Linked DNA regions of Rhinolophus ferrumequinum. The protein of the gene in region 1 purifies or fractionates together with the protein of each later gene. This does not show direct contact. Links are inferred from orthologs where the notes say so. Each region holds a gene or a part of one and is shown on either strand. Other genes may lie near its edges. The genes, in order: RAB11B and PI4KB.

Region 1 (7,427 bases):
AAAAATACATATATAAGGGGTGGCCAGTTAGCTCAGTTGGTTAGAGCATGGTGCTGATAACACTAAGTTTGCCGGTTCGATCCCCACATGGGCCACTATGAACTGCGCCCTCTAAAATATATATATATATATATATATATATATATACACACACACATATGTATACATATATATATATATAAATTCAACTAATATTTATCGAGCACGTGCTACATGGCAAACCCTGTACTAAGTGCTTGGAATACTCTAGTGAGAGAAAAGTCCCAAACTTACTGTTAAAGCCCCTGCCATTACAGATAGGGTGACCTATAATTGATTGTCCAGACTGAGACACTTAAGAGTGAAAGGGAGTGTACTGTTAATAGTTAAGCCATATGACAGTATAAAGCAGCTCCCAGGCATATGAGGACCGATTGACTTAGTTTTTAAAAGTGTAAACATAGCTCCACCACATACGAGAAACCAATATCACCTCCCATAAGCAGGTTAGTAAAACTAAAGTCAAAAATAAAACAATGCCAATGATTTCAAATACCAGCTAGAAAACTGATCTGTGATACGTAGTGGCTGCCCCTGGAAGGGTGGAGTGGGGATTGACTGGGAGGGGACATGATGGAAATTTCCTGAGTTACAGTGATATTCTGACCCTTAATAGAGGTGGATTATTCCGGTGTATGCCTCTGTCTCAGCAAGCATCCCCTTAAGATTTGTGCATTTCATTGTATGTAAATTTTATCTTCAAAGAAAAGAGACAAAGAGCCATAAACAAATACTGAAGTCTAGCTAACGAAATGCATGCTGAAGTGTTGAGGTGAAGACAACTGATGCCTTCAATTTTCTTTGTTTTATTTTTAATGTTTTCCAGCTTTATTACAATATAATTGATATTAACATTGTGTAAGTTTAAGGTTTACAATGCGTTGATTTGATACATTTATGTATTTTGAAATGATTACCACAGTAGCATTAGCTAACACGTCCACACATCACACAATGCCATTTATTTTTTGTGGTGTGAACATTTAAGATCTTTTTTAGCAACTCTTATTAACTCTAAACACTGTGCAATACATTAGATCCCCCAAATCTTTAACTTTCTCTGAAATGTATCAAAAAACAAGATGATGGATGGGTGGATAGAGAGGTAGATATGTGACAAAGCAAAATACTGGTGGGGATATGAGTACAGAGATATCCTCTGTACAGTTCTTTCCACTTTCTAAGTGTTTAAACATTTCACAGTAAATGGGTAAGAAAATTCTAGCCTGATTCTGTTGCCTACTGCAGGCTCTCAGTCTGCATCCCAGTTCTGTTTTAAAAGGGAGATGAGGGTTAGAAAATTGTTCAAGAGATATGAGCCAGAGAGAGTAAGCCTCTCTCCTGGAGAGATAATAAAGGATTTTAAGAATTGAGAAAAGGTAGGACTTTCTCGGTTTGTGGTTCAATGTGTAAGGCTTGCGGCAAGATAATGAGGCTCGTCAGGCAGGTTGAGGAAAGTGAGTTCTTTATTCTGCGCTCCCCGGCGAGGTTCACTGGTCCCGCAGACGGGGCGAAGTCGCGCCCAGGGTCGAGGGAGGGAGGCATATGTGCGGTTTTTGGGGTGGGGGTTGGCTGAGTGAGGTGGCAGATGAGCAGGCCCCCCCAGCACAGATCGGGCGCGAGCGGCTGTGTCCGGAGTTGCTTATCACACCAGCGGTCTGCTGAAACGCCAGGGGCCTCAGTGTCTGTCATGCGGGGAGGGGTCTGACTTGGCAGAGGGGCATGACTTGGCTCCTGGGGGCGGGTCTGACTTGACAGAGGGGTATTTTTGGCTCCTGGCCGCTTTGACCATGTCCATAGCTGACCTAACACAATGTTATTCAACGCACCATCTAAAATTATCTCCCATATCTTATAGCCTGGAATTATGTGATCTCTTGTGTCCAGGACACATGTTTGAGAAAAAGCTTCTGCCTGTGCCCTGAACCCAGCTGCTGTTTTAATAGGAGAATCTATCTTTCCACTATTCCTCTTAAGTGCTCCTTGGAGAAATAGTGGGAGCCTCTTTCCCTAGATAGGTGATCCATGACTCTTCCTGGAAGGTGCTGGCATCACTGTAGCTTCCCGGGGGCTCTGGTTGAGTATGGACGACGACATCCTCAGCCCATAGAGGGTCGACTATAGGCCAGATCCTCTCCAGGCTCCTTGTTGGGGGTGTCCTGTACCAGGCAGGCTTAGAAAGTCTCCCTTGAGCCCACTGGAACTATTGGGAAGCCCCATTGGAACTAGTGGGGAGTCCCACCCAGCTTTGCCCTCCTAATTCTCACGCTCTTGCAAGAGGGCTCATCTCTCTACCCTGTCCTTTCTCCGGCCATCACCATCTCTTTCAACCCAGCATTTTCTGTCCTTCCACTCCCAGGAACAACACAAAGAATAACCACCATGGTTGGGAACCAAACAAAAGCCAGGATGTGAATCCAGACCTGTCCAACTCCAGAGCTGGAGCTCTTAACCACATCTGTATCCTAGGTGACTAACGACAGGCCACTAAAGCTCTGTGGCTTCAGTTCCTGCCTCTGGAAAATAGGGATGGGGTTCTGTACCCGACCCTTACCCTGCCCCCCACCCATTCCTGTTCTCCTGGTGCTGTGAGGATTTCAAGATTTCATGGAACATGATGTGAAAAAGACTGAGAACAGTGTCTGGCTCACAGTGAGCACCCAATATAAACATTAGCCATCCTTACTAGGCCATCATGCTAGGGTGGGGCCGGAGGGGAGCGTGACCCAGATAGGAGAAAAGGCTTCATGAGGTCGACGTGGCTTGAGTATGGTTTACAAAGAAGGATGAAAATTCTACAAAAATGGGGGCGGTGAATGGTATTCCAGGAAGAGGACACTGAAAGCAAAAGCCTAGTGGCCTGGGTCCGAAGTGCAGCTCTGTCTGGGGAAGCAGTGCACTGACCACCTGGCTGCAGCATGGTTCTCAGGCAGCTGGGTGGTGAGTGGTGGTGGGGTAGGGAGGGGTTTGGCTTCAAGCCAACTGCCCAGGAGCCTGCTGATAAAGTTCTGAGGATCTGCCCTGGTTTGGTTCCCACAGCCTTGCCTTTTCACCTAATCTCGTGTCTGGGCCCTGGACGCCACTCTCCAGCCACCATGGATGGCCTCCTAGCTGTTGAGACCCATCAGGCTCTCCTCTCTCACTTGCTGTTTCCTCTGCCTGAAACGCTGTTACCACTAACTCCACACCGACCTGCGACTCAGAGCAAATGCCACCTCCTCCCGGATGCCTTCCCTGCCTTCCTAGCTAAGGAGCTCCACCATCACATAAACCAGGTTATTCCCCTCATTACATGCCTCCCGTTCTGAAATTATCTTGTGAGTGTTGTTTACTTGCTTCTTCCTCCTGACTCTACTGGACTGTCAGCTCCATGAGTGCTGGGATTTTGTCTTGTTCAATGGTGCATCCCCAGCACCTAGAGCGCTGTTAGTAGGTGCTTAGTAAATGCTTATTAAAGGAAGGATTAAAAGATTTTTAAACAGGGGAGGGAGACGATCTGACTCTCATGTTTTTTTTTATTATTATTATTAGTTTCAGGTGCTGACTCTCATGTTTTAAAAGACACCCTCTGACTGCTGGAGGTAGGCAAGCAACTGTACAGGTCCAGGCAGTGATGATGGGGCCAGGATCAGGATGGTGGCAGGGGAAGGGGAGAGAACTGGTCAGAAATTTAGGAGGAAGGAGAGATAGAAAATGGCAATTGAGAGAGGGGGTGGGAGGCAGGGACAAGGGAGTAAACGATGAAGAGGGAAAAGCACATGACCTGTGGCTTTGATGATGGGGTGGAGTCGGGATGAAGACAACAGGAAAAGGGGGAAGGAGGCCAAATTGGTGTCTGGGACGCCTGATGGACGTCCCAGGGATGAGGTCCAGGAGGCAATAATAATTATAATACAGTTATAATAACTAGCACATGAGCTGTATGCTTACGGTATCTATTTCATATCAAATATTTATTGAGCACTGAGGATGCAGCAGTGATTGTGCCCAAGTCCCTGCCCTCATGGGACTGATGATTCTGTTGACTTGGGACAGAAACTAAACAGATTAATGGACCAAGAAAGAAATACATACTTTAAAGTTAGGTAGTGATAAATCCTAGGGCAGTGTGTGTGTGTGTGTGTGCGCGTGTGTAATAAAACAGGGTAAGGGACAGAGAAGGGGAGATCATGTTGGACAAAGTCTGACGCTCAGTAAAATTTATAAATATTTATTACACAAAAACTTAATGACAGAAAATGGATGGTTGAGTTAGTACGTTTAGGTAAATGATCCATAGATATACTCAAAAATTTCAATGAGGTGTTTCTTTCCTGTTATACAGAAGAGGGAAACTGAGGCAGTGGGTTGACATAATGAGTCACTTACAAATGAATGAAAACTGCAACGGACAGAGGAGGACCTCTAGGTTGAAAAGACGCCGCGCAGAGGACCCCGGGAAACGGTCATTAATTATGGTGGGGGAGGGGGCCCAGAGCGGCACACATTGACCTATGACGTCATCGGGACGTTAAATAGCGTAACATCACCTGGACGTAGCTCCATTTCCCTTCCTGGACATGTCCTCCGTTAGTCGGGCCCGGTCTGAATCAAGCCTCTTATTGGCTATTCGCTCCGTCAATTTGTTTCATTCTTCCAGTCTTCCGCTTCCTGAGTCCGCTTCTGATAGGATGACGCGACCGTCACTTCAGAAAAGTCCGCATTCCTTCCGCCTTTCTCCAGGAGACCGAGGGCAAGGAGGGTGGATCCCAGTCTGCGCCCACCTCGGGGGCTCTGTTTCCGCCTCTGATTGGCTCTTCTGGGTGCCGGTCGCTACGCCACTCGCCGCTGATTGGCCACCTGGCAGCCGCTCTGCGCGGCACCGGCTCCGCCCCCGCAGGGTGTTTGTGGTGGGGTTGCGGAGTCGCCGATCCCGCCGGAAGCGCCAGGACAATGGGGACCCGGGACGACGAATACGACTACCTATTCAAAGGTAAGGCCGCTGGGGTACAGACGAGCGAGGGGGCGGCGGCGAGACGGCGAACAGGCGGGCCGTAGCTGCCCTCCAGGCCGCTGGGCCTCGGCCGGAGCCCGGAGCTTGGGGCCCGGCGGGTCAAGCAGCCGGGAAGACCGGGGCAGCCCGGGTTCGATCAGCTTTGTATGTTGGTGCGCCACTGTGCCGAGCGGGTGGCCCAAAGAGGCCTGAGGGCCCTGGATGCGCCGAGGCGGGGCCGGAGCCCAGAGGGGGTGGGTCCCAGAGCGCGGTGGGAGAGGCCGTTAGGGGCGGAGCCCTGGAGGGGGCGGGACCGCCTAGCGTTTGTCAGGCCGGGTTGGGTGGAAAACTCCATGGGGTGCGGGCGGGGCCCTTGGAGGCGGGGCTGAGGCGTGGTGGGCGTGTCCAAGAAGTGGGCTGGGCGTTTGGGGCGTTACTCTTCAGAGGGTGGGCGGGAGCAGACTTGATTGGTGACTGCGTCTGGGGGCGGAGCCCGGAAGGGAGGGGTGGATAATGTGTGTTGAGGTTTGTGGTGGAGGACACAGGGTGGGGTGCGGACCCGGGGTTCCATGGAGGGGCGCCTGGTGGAGGGGACTGTGTGTGCTGGACCCAGGTCTGGTCGTTACTGTTGTTCTATCTCTCACAGCTCTTAGAACTCTTAATAGCACTACCCAAAGTACCTGCACTTTTCTAAGTACTTTACACACCTGAATTCATTGAAATTCTCACCACAGCGCTGTGAGGTCAGTATTATTCAGTCTGGAAACGGGGGTCCAGGGAGACAAGAGAAGAACACAGTGAATAAGTGTTGGAGCAGGATTTGAACCCAGGCCAGCTGTGGGCTTTACCACTTAAGGAGTGTATCTGGGGGAGCTTGCACCCGGATCACGGAGTGGGCTGTCAGACCGCCTCCCCCAACATCTGCGCGCTGATGCCTCAGGTCTGGGCCAACCTGCTGGATGATTTTCCCTGCCGGAGGGACACAGGGCTCTGGGAGCCTCAAGTAAGGCCTAGGTAGGTCAGGCAGCCATTGCTGGCCTGGGGCCAGCGGGAGAGCTCCTTCACCCTGCCTCACAGCGAGGGAGACTCACCACATGTCACTGGAGTCCGTCTCTCAACTGGGCTGGTTTAAGGGTCACTGGCTTCACAGCACCTTCTGTGCCAAGCTGGACCTCTGCCAGGTCTTCTGCTGTCCGTGCTGGGTGACAGCGGCCGCCCTTGAGAGCTAACTCTTGGGCCCATGCAGGGTATGTTTGCTCTGTTGCCTGTTGTGTGAGGGTCTGCCTCCCACACCAGCTGTTGGCATCTTCCACTCGCTAGGGGATCCTGGCCATCCCTGGGAGTGCGTCTGTGTCTGGAGCTAGCCTCGGCTGACCATCAAGCATCTTGGGGCCTGGGGACTGGGGACGTTGGGGTTGTGGAGAGTGAGTGGAGCACTCCCTACCTGGGACATCCATGTGTTGAAAGGCTACTGGGCAAAGGGGGTGCCCATGCAAAAGCCCAGAGTCCTCGCACAGCACTGTGGGGTCTGGGAATGCCTGCGGGTTGACATGTCACTGGCAGAGAAGGCTGTGTGGTCAGCAGGCTTCAGGCCAAGGCTGTGGTGCTGACTGAGTCTTGTGGTGTCACCTTAGAAGCAGGGGAAGCTCTGTCAAGGCTTTTGGGACTGGTGACAGGTGGTTTGGACTCCAGTCCTGCTGCAGCTGGTGCCTGTCTCTACTCAGCTTGCCCTGAGGCAGCTGCTCCCAGGTCAGGGCTGGGCATCTGCCTGGCTGTGGCATTGCCAGGGCAGGGGGCATTCCCCCAGTTGCCCCCTGCAGGCTTCTGTGGCCATTCCTGCTTGTTATTTTCAACTGTGTGCTGTTATAAATAACCCAGCTCCAAATGTTTGCACTACTCATCTTTTACCCTTTGGGTTACTTCCTTGAAGTGTGTTCCCAGAAGTACCGTTACTGGGTCAGGGGCAGTGGAACAGCTGTGTACTTCCCAGGACTTGTCTCTAGTTCACTTCCTGGAAACACTAATCTGGCTTCTGGGACAACTGGCAAAGGGTGCCCGCCTGCCCTGCAGCTCTACCCCACTGGCCTCCCTTTCTGAGTCCAGCAGGTGCCCTGCTGACCTTCTCAAGCCGGGTTGCAAGTGAAAATCTAATCCACAAGGTCAGGGTTCCCCTAACTGGGATCCTCTGAGCCCTCCCCTTCATAGTTACACCTTGTCCGAGGACCCCCTTGTTATCCCGTAATGTTTGTCTTTATATTCACTCAGGTTTTCACTTCCTTAAATGGGAAAAATAAACTCTTATTTGACTTTGTATCGAAAGTCAAATATAAAAAGTCAGATAAAAGAAGGGAGGAAGGAAGCCGCTACCATCACCTCACTTGCCATAAATATGTCAGGTGGACAAAAACGTGACAGC
Region 2 (8,165 bases), on another chromosome or scaffold:
TAACTCACAAAGCAAGAACAGAACAACGTAACAGTTCAATCTTGATCCTCATGTGTAAGAGCTGAGTGTAAATTCAGAGAGTTCAATTTGGGCAGCAAGAGGAGGGCATTCCAGGAAAAGCAGGGGTTTGAGGATGTGGGATGTATTGGTTTGGCAGTACAACCCCGTAGAGAGTCCTGTCCGACAGAAAGGATGTGTCCGACTACTAGTGAGAAATACACTAGAAGAAGAACACACACCATTATAATTATCTGTTGACTGAATGATGTGTGAAAGGTATAAAAATTGCATTAGAGGATGAAGGAACTGGAGTAAAGAGGAACCAGTCAGGCAGCTGTTGCCATTATTCATGTACCATGTTTTCCTGAAAATAAGACCTAACCGGAAAATAAGCCCTAGCATGATTTTTCAGGTTGACAGCCTCTGAACATAAGCCCTAATGCATCTTTTGGAGCAAAACTTAATATATACAAGACCCTTATTTTTGGGGAAACACGGTAGGAAGAGATGAGGGACTAGACCAGACAGCTGACACATTAGAGGTGATGGGCATATGGGAAAATAAACCACTGGTGATAGGATAGAAGCACCCAAGGAAGTACTGTCCTCACTGTGATGGGGTGATGGGGATGTTTCCATTCACTTTGGGAGAACGGCACTGGATGACTTTGAGATTTACGTGAATGTTATGGCGAATGTATGGCGTTTATGTGAATGTTATAGCCTATTTAAAAACTTACTCTATTTTTAAAATCTAACGTGAAACAAGTTATGCTGTAATTCAGGCAATCTTTAGCTCATTAGATGAAGGGCTAAACTAAGATTTTGGAGACGGTCTACTGCTCCTCTGCCATTCCTTATTCTGTCCCCAATACCCTGTTCCCCACTTCTATTACCTCCCCACCCCGTGTCATCTTCTTTTATTTTAGCCCTATCATAAATGAAGTTAAGCATAATTTATAATTTACTAAAATCTGAAATAATATTTTGCTATTAAACCAAGACAAACTATATGTCTAGTCTGTGGTCCCAAATAAATGAATTTATGGCTTATTTTTGTGGATAACAATCAACTTTCTTTAGAAATCAAAGCAAATGCCACATTCACATTAAATGGGCAAATTAATGTCACTATATATTTGTCTAAGTGTTTCATCTCATGTTACAGTTCCTAGTAGGTCTACTCCTTTGCCTAGGATATTCCTGCTGGCTCCATACAATGAGATAAAGCTAAGTATAATATACATGTAATGCAGTATTTCTTAAATGTTCACAAGGAGGCATTTGTTTACTGGAAAGAGCATGAATTTGGTGTCAGTCTTAGCTTGACCACTTTCCATATGATTTTGAACATTTATTTAGTCCAGTTTTTTTTCAAACTGTAGATTGCAACCCATTAGTAGGTTGTGAAACTGATTTAGCTATTGAAAACTATTGAAAACTATTTTTAAAACTATTTTTAAAAAGTGAGATGGAATAGAAAATACCAGTGCTTTGCATATAGTAAGGGTAAGTATTGTTTCATGAAACTTATCTCAGTGAAGACATGTCTATGTGTTCTTCAGTGGTCATGATATAAAAGGTATTTCTTATGGGTTGAAGTAAAAAAATTTTGAAAGACAATGTCTTAACTATTCTGAGCTCAGTTTCCATAAAATGTGATAAAATCTCTTTCACAGGGTTAAATGAAGTAATGTTTGTACAAGGTGTGATCAAACAATCTGGTGAATGTTTAAATTAAAAAAAATTCATTATAGTAAAAGACACATTGCCATTAATTCTCCTCAAAACATTCCCCCTCGCCTCGAACACACTTATCGCATTGTTCTTGCCACTTTCTGAAGCAGTTCTGGAAGTCCTCTTTTGTGAGTGTCTTTAGTTGCACTGTCGTGGCTGCCTCAATGTCCTGAATCATTTTGACATTGGGGAAGAGCCAGAAGTTGTACAGTAACAGATCTGGTGAATAAGGTGGATGAGGACACATCGTAATGTTTTTGACAGAAATTGCCAAACCAGAAGTGATGTGTGACACGGAGCATTGTCATGATGGAGGATGATTTATGGCACACTATACAACACACCTTCTCTCAACTGTAGCTCACACCCGACTGACTGCACCGAACAAGTTGAAACTTGTCACTCACTGTTACTAAGGTTCCACACACCGCTTCCCGTATTGAAGATCCCTGCCTTTCCGTTGGATGGCACTGGGCAGCAGCATTCATCGTATTTTGTTATCACAACGGAAAGGCTCCGTGTCACACATTGCTTTGGTACAGCAATTTCTGTCAAATAAAAACATTGCGGTGTGTCCTCATTCACCTTATTCACCAGATCTGGCACCATGTGACTTCTGGCTCTTCCCCAAAGTCAAAATGACCATGAAAAGTAAATGTTTTGAATCGATTCAGGACATCGAGGCAGCCACGGTAGCACAACAATACACTCATGAAAAAGGACTTCCAGAATTGCTTCAGAAAGTGGCAAGAATGATGGGATGTGTGTGTTTGAAGCAAGGAGAAGTATTTTGAGGGGCATTAATGGCAATGGATCTTTCACTATCAAAATTTTTTAAAATATAAACACTCACTGTATTTTTTGATCACACCTCATATTCATACACAGTAGGAGCTTGAGTAATAACTGCTAGCTTCTTTTTTTCTAATAAAAAAAAACCCATGGGAAAAAAATCATTTTTTATAATTTCTTTAACCACAGGGATGTTTAAAATATAACTGGAGCCGTATTCTGACTTGGGTCCTCTAGTTTTACGAGCTTTTGATGCATAAGCCAACTTCTTTCTCCAATTTGATGAAATGTAAATAAGATAAATGACATTACCTGACCCTGTTGGTACTTTCCTGGTGCTATATCAACAAAATAAACTTTGACCTGTGGCAGAAACTAAAGGTACAGTTAAAATACAAAGATGAATCCTTTCTTGCCTTGAGGAGATCAGAATAGAGGGCCTGGGAGACTCGTAGAAACAGAGAGTAACCAAAACACAAAAGTTAAGTCAGAAAGACAAAAGTCATAAAGACATACAAAGAAATTCACACATATGAACTCTTAGAGCTAGAAACACAACACTTGAAAGAAACTCTTCTACTTAATACTCTATGTATGGGAGGGGGGTCTCTGTTAACAAAGGACTTATAACTGCCTATAGCTATAAGAAGTTGCTATTTAAAGTTTGACCAGAGATGTTCCTGAAATGTTTTTGTTTTTTCTTTTTTTTGTCATTGGAAAATAAACTTCCTACTATAAAAAGCAGGGCTGTCACATCCCTTTTTACAATGTTTCAAAAAGCTGGTCTTATGGCCCTTTGGAACCCTACCCCTGGAGAGGATGTATGAGTGACATTTTTAAACTAGGCTAAAGCAGGGCCATCACCTCTTGATACTTGCCTGACAGCTGATTGGGAGGTGGCCAAGAGCTGCTGGTCCTGACAGGTGGACTGGTGACTCCCCACTCCAGATGGGTGGTGACAAATTTAAACTATCTTTGGCACTCTTGGCCTCTTTCTCAGCTCATCTTTCATTACTGTACTCCTGCTTTAACCTAGCTTATCAGCTTGCCCTCTCCTCTTGATTTGAGCAAATTCCCATTTCTACTCTTCAGCATACAGTTTTTAAGCCTCTCCTCTTTTTATTTTGTTCTGCTGGATCATATCCAATAAATCTCCTAAGACCTAGCTCACAATATTTTTGAGAAGCCTTTCATTCACTCATTCGCCATATACTGAGTGGCTGGGCCTTCTGGATTAAATAACCATACTCCTCTATGTTCCTTCAGCAATTAGGTACCCTATTTGTTTTACTTTTGCACATATGACGTGTTTTACACAGCTATTTTCATACTATTACCTTTATTCTGCCTCCCAATGAAACTGAAGCAGTTACCCTCTTTTCATCATCTATATTATTGTCTCAATAATAGTAATATAGTACTATACATAGTACTAATCTGTATTTTAATCCTCCCAAAACCCTGTAAAGTGTTAAGATTCCCGGGCCCACTTTTCAGACATAGAAACTTAGGTGCAAAGAAGTGAAATCAGTCACCCCAAATCAGCCTCAGGGAAGGTGGCATCCAAGATCTGGGCTCAAATAACTAACCTCAATGTAAAATATTAAATAAAGCCCTGCGAAGGTTGGGACAGAGGTTACATTAGGACAGAGGTTCTGACTGACAGAGCTCCCAATCAATAATGCGAACTGGCAAATACACAAACCAGCACCAGAGGTCCATTTGCAGGGTGCGTTTTTATTTGTTTAATTGTACGTGATGTCGTTTGGAAGGAAGGGTTGTGCCGTCCAGGCTTTTATCATTTCACTCACTTCTCCCTACCTGGCCCGGTCCTGCCCCTCCCTGGAGGGATCGAAATCCAAAGGCTGGAGGCCAAAGGCTGCCCAGACAGGTGGTGACCTCTGAGGCAGAACCGCGGCCTCGAGTCGCACCGCTAACGGCGAAAGATTGACGTGGTTGGACCGCGCCATTCCCGAAGCGATAAGGGACGTAATCACGGCATCGTCCTTTAAGTGAATAGGAAAAGGGTAGTGAGGGTGACTATCTTCCCCGCCCACCCTCTCTCTTCCTCCTCTCCCCGCTGGGCCCCCAACGTCCATTCTACGGCCTGATAAATTACTAAGGGAGTCGTGTGGAATAGGGGTGCGGGGGAAAGCCACTGACTGCAATTGCGGTAACTCTGTAGGTAACTCAAACGGACTTATTTACATATAATTTGCATGTACTTATAGAAGTACCCTATATATCCGTACTTCTAACAGGGCACCCACGCCCACCTACCGCACTCTGTTCGAGGACGGGAGCCCTAGCCCCTTATCCAGCAAATTTCACTTCCCTTTCGGCTTCCTTAGCCTCGCAAACTCTCTTAGGCCCGCCTCCCAAACATTGGCCCCGCCTCTCACACGTAGGATCCTCCCCTCGTACGCCACTCCCTCCCCAGTTTCCAACCATCTTCCCCGCCCCCTTTTCTATTTCTGAACAGGCATGTTCCGGGCAGCTCACCCGCCTCCTTAGATTACTATGGGCTCGGCAGGGTCCTGAGCGTCGGAGGAGCACGAAAGCATATCCCAAGAAGAAGGGCTTGGACTCAGAAGAATCGAGCCCTGCTGGGGATTTATATTTTTCTTTCTTTCTTTTTTTTTTTTTTTTGGTCGTGGTTGTGCGGAGAGAGGAAGAGAAGGCTGTGCGGCCCGGTCGAACTTGAGACAGCGCGAAGGCCCCTTCAGGCGCTGCCGAGGGCAGCCCCGCAGCCGGGGCCTGGTGCAGCCGCCGCGGCCGCTGTCAGGGAAGCGCAGGCGGCCAATGGAACCCGGGAGCGGCCGCTGCTGCTGAGGCGGCGGTGTCGGCAGCCCGACCCCGACCGCCCGCACCCCCTCCGCGGAGGTCCCCCGGAGGTAAGCGACTCCTACCCCGGGAGTCCCCCTCGTGTGGGTCCCTCTCCCACCGTGTCCCGCACGGCTCCCCCCCGCCCCCACACCTGGATTCGACTACAAAACTGCCCTCCCGGTGGCAGCTGCACCCCGGGTCCTTCTCCACCGTGTCCATTCAAGCCTGGGGTCCTCCTGTGCCTTTTGGCTTCCTCTTCTGTTTAGCTCCTCCCTCTGCCCCGGGGATTCCCCCCTCCCTCACTCTTATCCCTGCTGCCTCCGTCCCGAATTATTTTTCCTTAAGTCACGAACTCTTTGCACATCAGGACACCTCTTAGAATGTCCATTCTTGGTTGTCCTTCCTCGTCGTCGGTGCTCCTGCCCCAAACCTTTCCCATGACCTCCGCCTTTACCCCTTTTCCTATTTTGCCCCTTTCTTCCAGTGTCTCTGCAGCCTCCGCGCAGAGTTCCCATTTCCCTGAGCTAAAGACTGGGGCCCTCTCTTCCTCTGCTGCTTCGGATTCCATGACCTCACCGCCCCCCACCAAGCTCCTCACTTCCAAGAATTGCCTATTCCCCTCTCCTTAAAGGATCTCAGCGTCATTCCCAACGTATCCTTCGCATTCTACTTTGACTTTCATCCTTGCTCCTCTTCTCTGGAGTTCTTTATGACCCCTGGAACTTGCTTTGGCTTCCCTTTATCCCTCCCTAATCCCCCGACCTCTGGAGGTTTGTCCCTATAGAAGTGAGAAGATACAACAGCACCCCTTCCCGTTCAGCACTTCCAACTTTGACACTTTCTCCGTCGAGTTTCGAGAACTTTGCTGATCCATGGGACACTGGGTTCTGTTTTCCCCGTGGTCTGTCTGTATTCTTTCTGTCACACTCTTTTATCTCCATGTACAACTCATTTCAGGATCAGCTAAACCTTGAACTAAGAAGAAAATGTGTTGGGAGGACGGGGAGCCTAGCTGTGTCATTCAGGCTTTCCTGGACAGAAGAGTGTTTCTGAAGGATGGAGCAGGTTTTGAAGAAGTCCCCGATCAGATTACACTTTGTTGTCTACTCAGAATCAGTCACTAGTGGAGGGGAAATGTCCTGCATGGAAACTAAGTGAGGTTGTGAGAAATTTCCTTTTGGATTATGTAATGTTAGGCTTGTCTTAAAGGGGTCACAGAATAGAGGGTCCTCCCACCTCTGGCCAGATGCAAGAGGAATCAGCTTACTAGAATGGTTTTGGTTGATTCCCTGAGAGCTTAGGGCTGGGGTGGGGTTGGGGGGTGGGTCACTGGAAAAAGGATCAGGAAACAAGGGAAAGAGCTTGTACATTCAGAATCAGGACTCCTGGGTCCAACGTGTGACTTGCACGCTTGACCTCTACAGTGACCTTTTTGGGAAAATGGTCCACTCTCTAGGCATCAGTGCAATAATTGGCTAATAGCAGGGTGTGGGGTGGGGGTAAAATTAGACTGTTTGTTTGTTTACAACACACTCTGGGTTTCTCAGACGAAAAGTATTTATTAGTGGTGGTTTAGTTATCCTGAGAATTCTCCTTCGTTCTGGTCCCTCTGTTGGGTCATTCTAGTCTATAGCCATGGGCGTAAGTCAGTTTGAAAGACAAGCTCCAGGCCTGCTTCTTTCTTCCCACTGCCTTAAGGTGCTGTTCCGTTCCTCTTGCACTTGACCCATAACTCCAGATTCCATAGGTGGAAGTATGTTTGTGGGCAAGCCCTTTGAGGAAGCTGGCTGGAAAAGAGAACTCTGGAGTGAGATGGGACTTAGGAAACCAGTTGCTCCCTCGTACGCCGTGTCTGTCTCTCGGCCTGCGCTGGCGAAGAGGGCGTGTGAAGTTCCATTCATCATCTGACTCGGGGCCTGTTTGAAAGTAATCCCACTGCCTCATCTCACTTGCCCTTCCTAGTTGGCCAGAGCGTAGTCTACTCAGAACCCCCCTTTTTAGGAGCAGCTTCGCTCCTTGGAAGCACCCCCAAAGAGAAATCATATTTCCCTAGTTCCCCCGCTGCCTTCTCAGAGCTGGGTCCACACCACAGGAGAACATGTTTGCTGGACACTATCCAAAGCAGCGAATTGAGATTCTTTGATTTGGGGAGGAAGTCTGGAAGAAATCTTTCCGTACCTGGCAGGGGACAAGAGAGGGCCTAGTCCAAGTGCATTTGGGGCTTGCAGTAGGGAGGAACAGTTCAGACAGAGGTGAGCCGACAGGTTGCTTTGTCATCTGTCTGTTTCAGCAGAGGCTCCCAGAGCTGGCTTGGGCTGTCTGGCTGGAATCTGCTTATACCAGCTCGATGGCCTTGCACAGAGAATTCTCAGCCTAATTCAATATTGACTTAACTATCCTGAGACCACTGCCCTCCCTACCCTCCTGCTGGTAGTTGAGAATGCCCTCTCTCCTGGTGTCAACCCCCCTTGGTGCTTTGGGTACAATTACCTGGTTCCCGGCAGGGCCTGAGCCTGCTTGACTGCTTGGCCCTGTGTTTCTCCAAGAAAAAAGTGGTACTCAATCTCCATCGTCACCACTGAGGTCGAGGGGGAAAGATGAGCGAGGTTGGAGATAGACTTTGGGACTTGAGGAGGGACCTGCTCAACAACTGAACAGGCAGCCTCGGGTGACGGGGGGAGTCTCTTCTGAAGAGCACCTTCTTTTTAAAAACCATTATTAAAGGTATCTGCGTTCTTGGTAACAAATCCAATGGTACGTCAGTTTATGATGAAAATCAACTGTCCCTTTCCATGCATCCCTCCTCCTAC

The links.
Region 2: the proteins of RAB11B (region 1) and PI4KB purify together in Homo sapiens (co-immunoprecipitation; 3 studies listed by BioGRID and IntAct, with this or other methods). This does not show direct contact. The link is inferred for Rhinolophus ferrumequinum from reciprocal best matches to the Homo sapiens genes RAB11B and PI4KB.

The regions. Positions count from the first base shown.
Region 1 is NC_046301.1:57,209,756-57,217,182, forward strand, and holds the start of RAB11B (ras-related protein Rab-11B), read left to right. Parts: upstream 1-4,376; 5' UTR 4,377-4,971; coding exon 4,972-5,011; intron 5,012-7,427. UniProt on the Homo sapiens protein: The small GTPases Rab are key regulators of intracellular membrane trafficking, from the formation of transport vesicles to their fusion with membranes.
Region 2 is NC_046305.1:51,330,091-51,338,255, reverse strand, and holds the start of PI4KB (phosphatidylinositol 4-kinase beta), read left to right. Parts: upstream 1-4,983; 5' UTR 4,984-5,423; intron 5,424-8,165. UniProt on the Homo sapiens protein: Phosphorylates phosphatidylinositol (PI) in the first committed step in the production of the second messenger inositol-1,4,5,-trisphosphate (PIP). May regulate Golgi disintegration/reorganization during mitosis, possibly via its phosphorylation.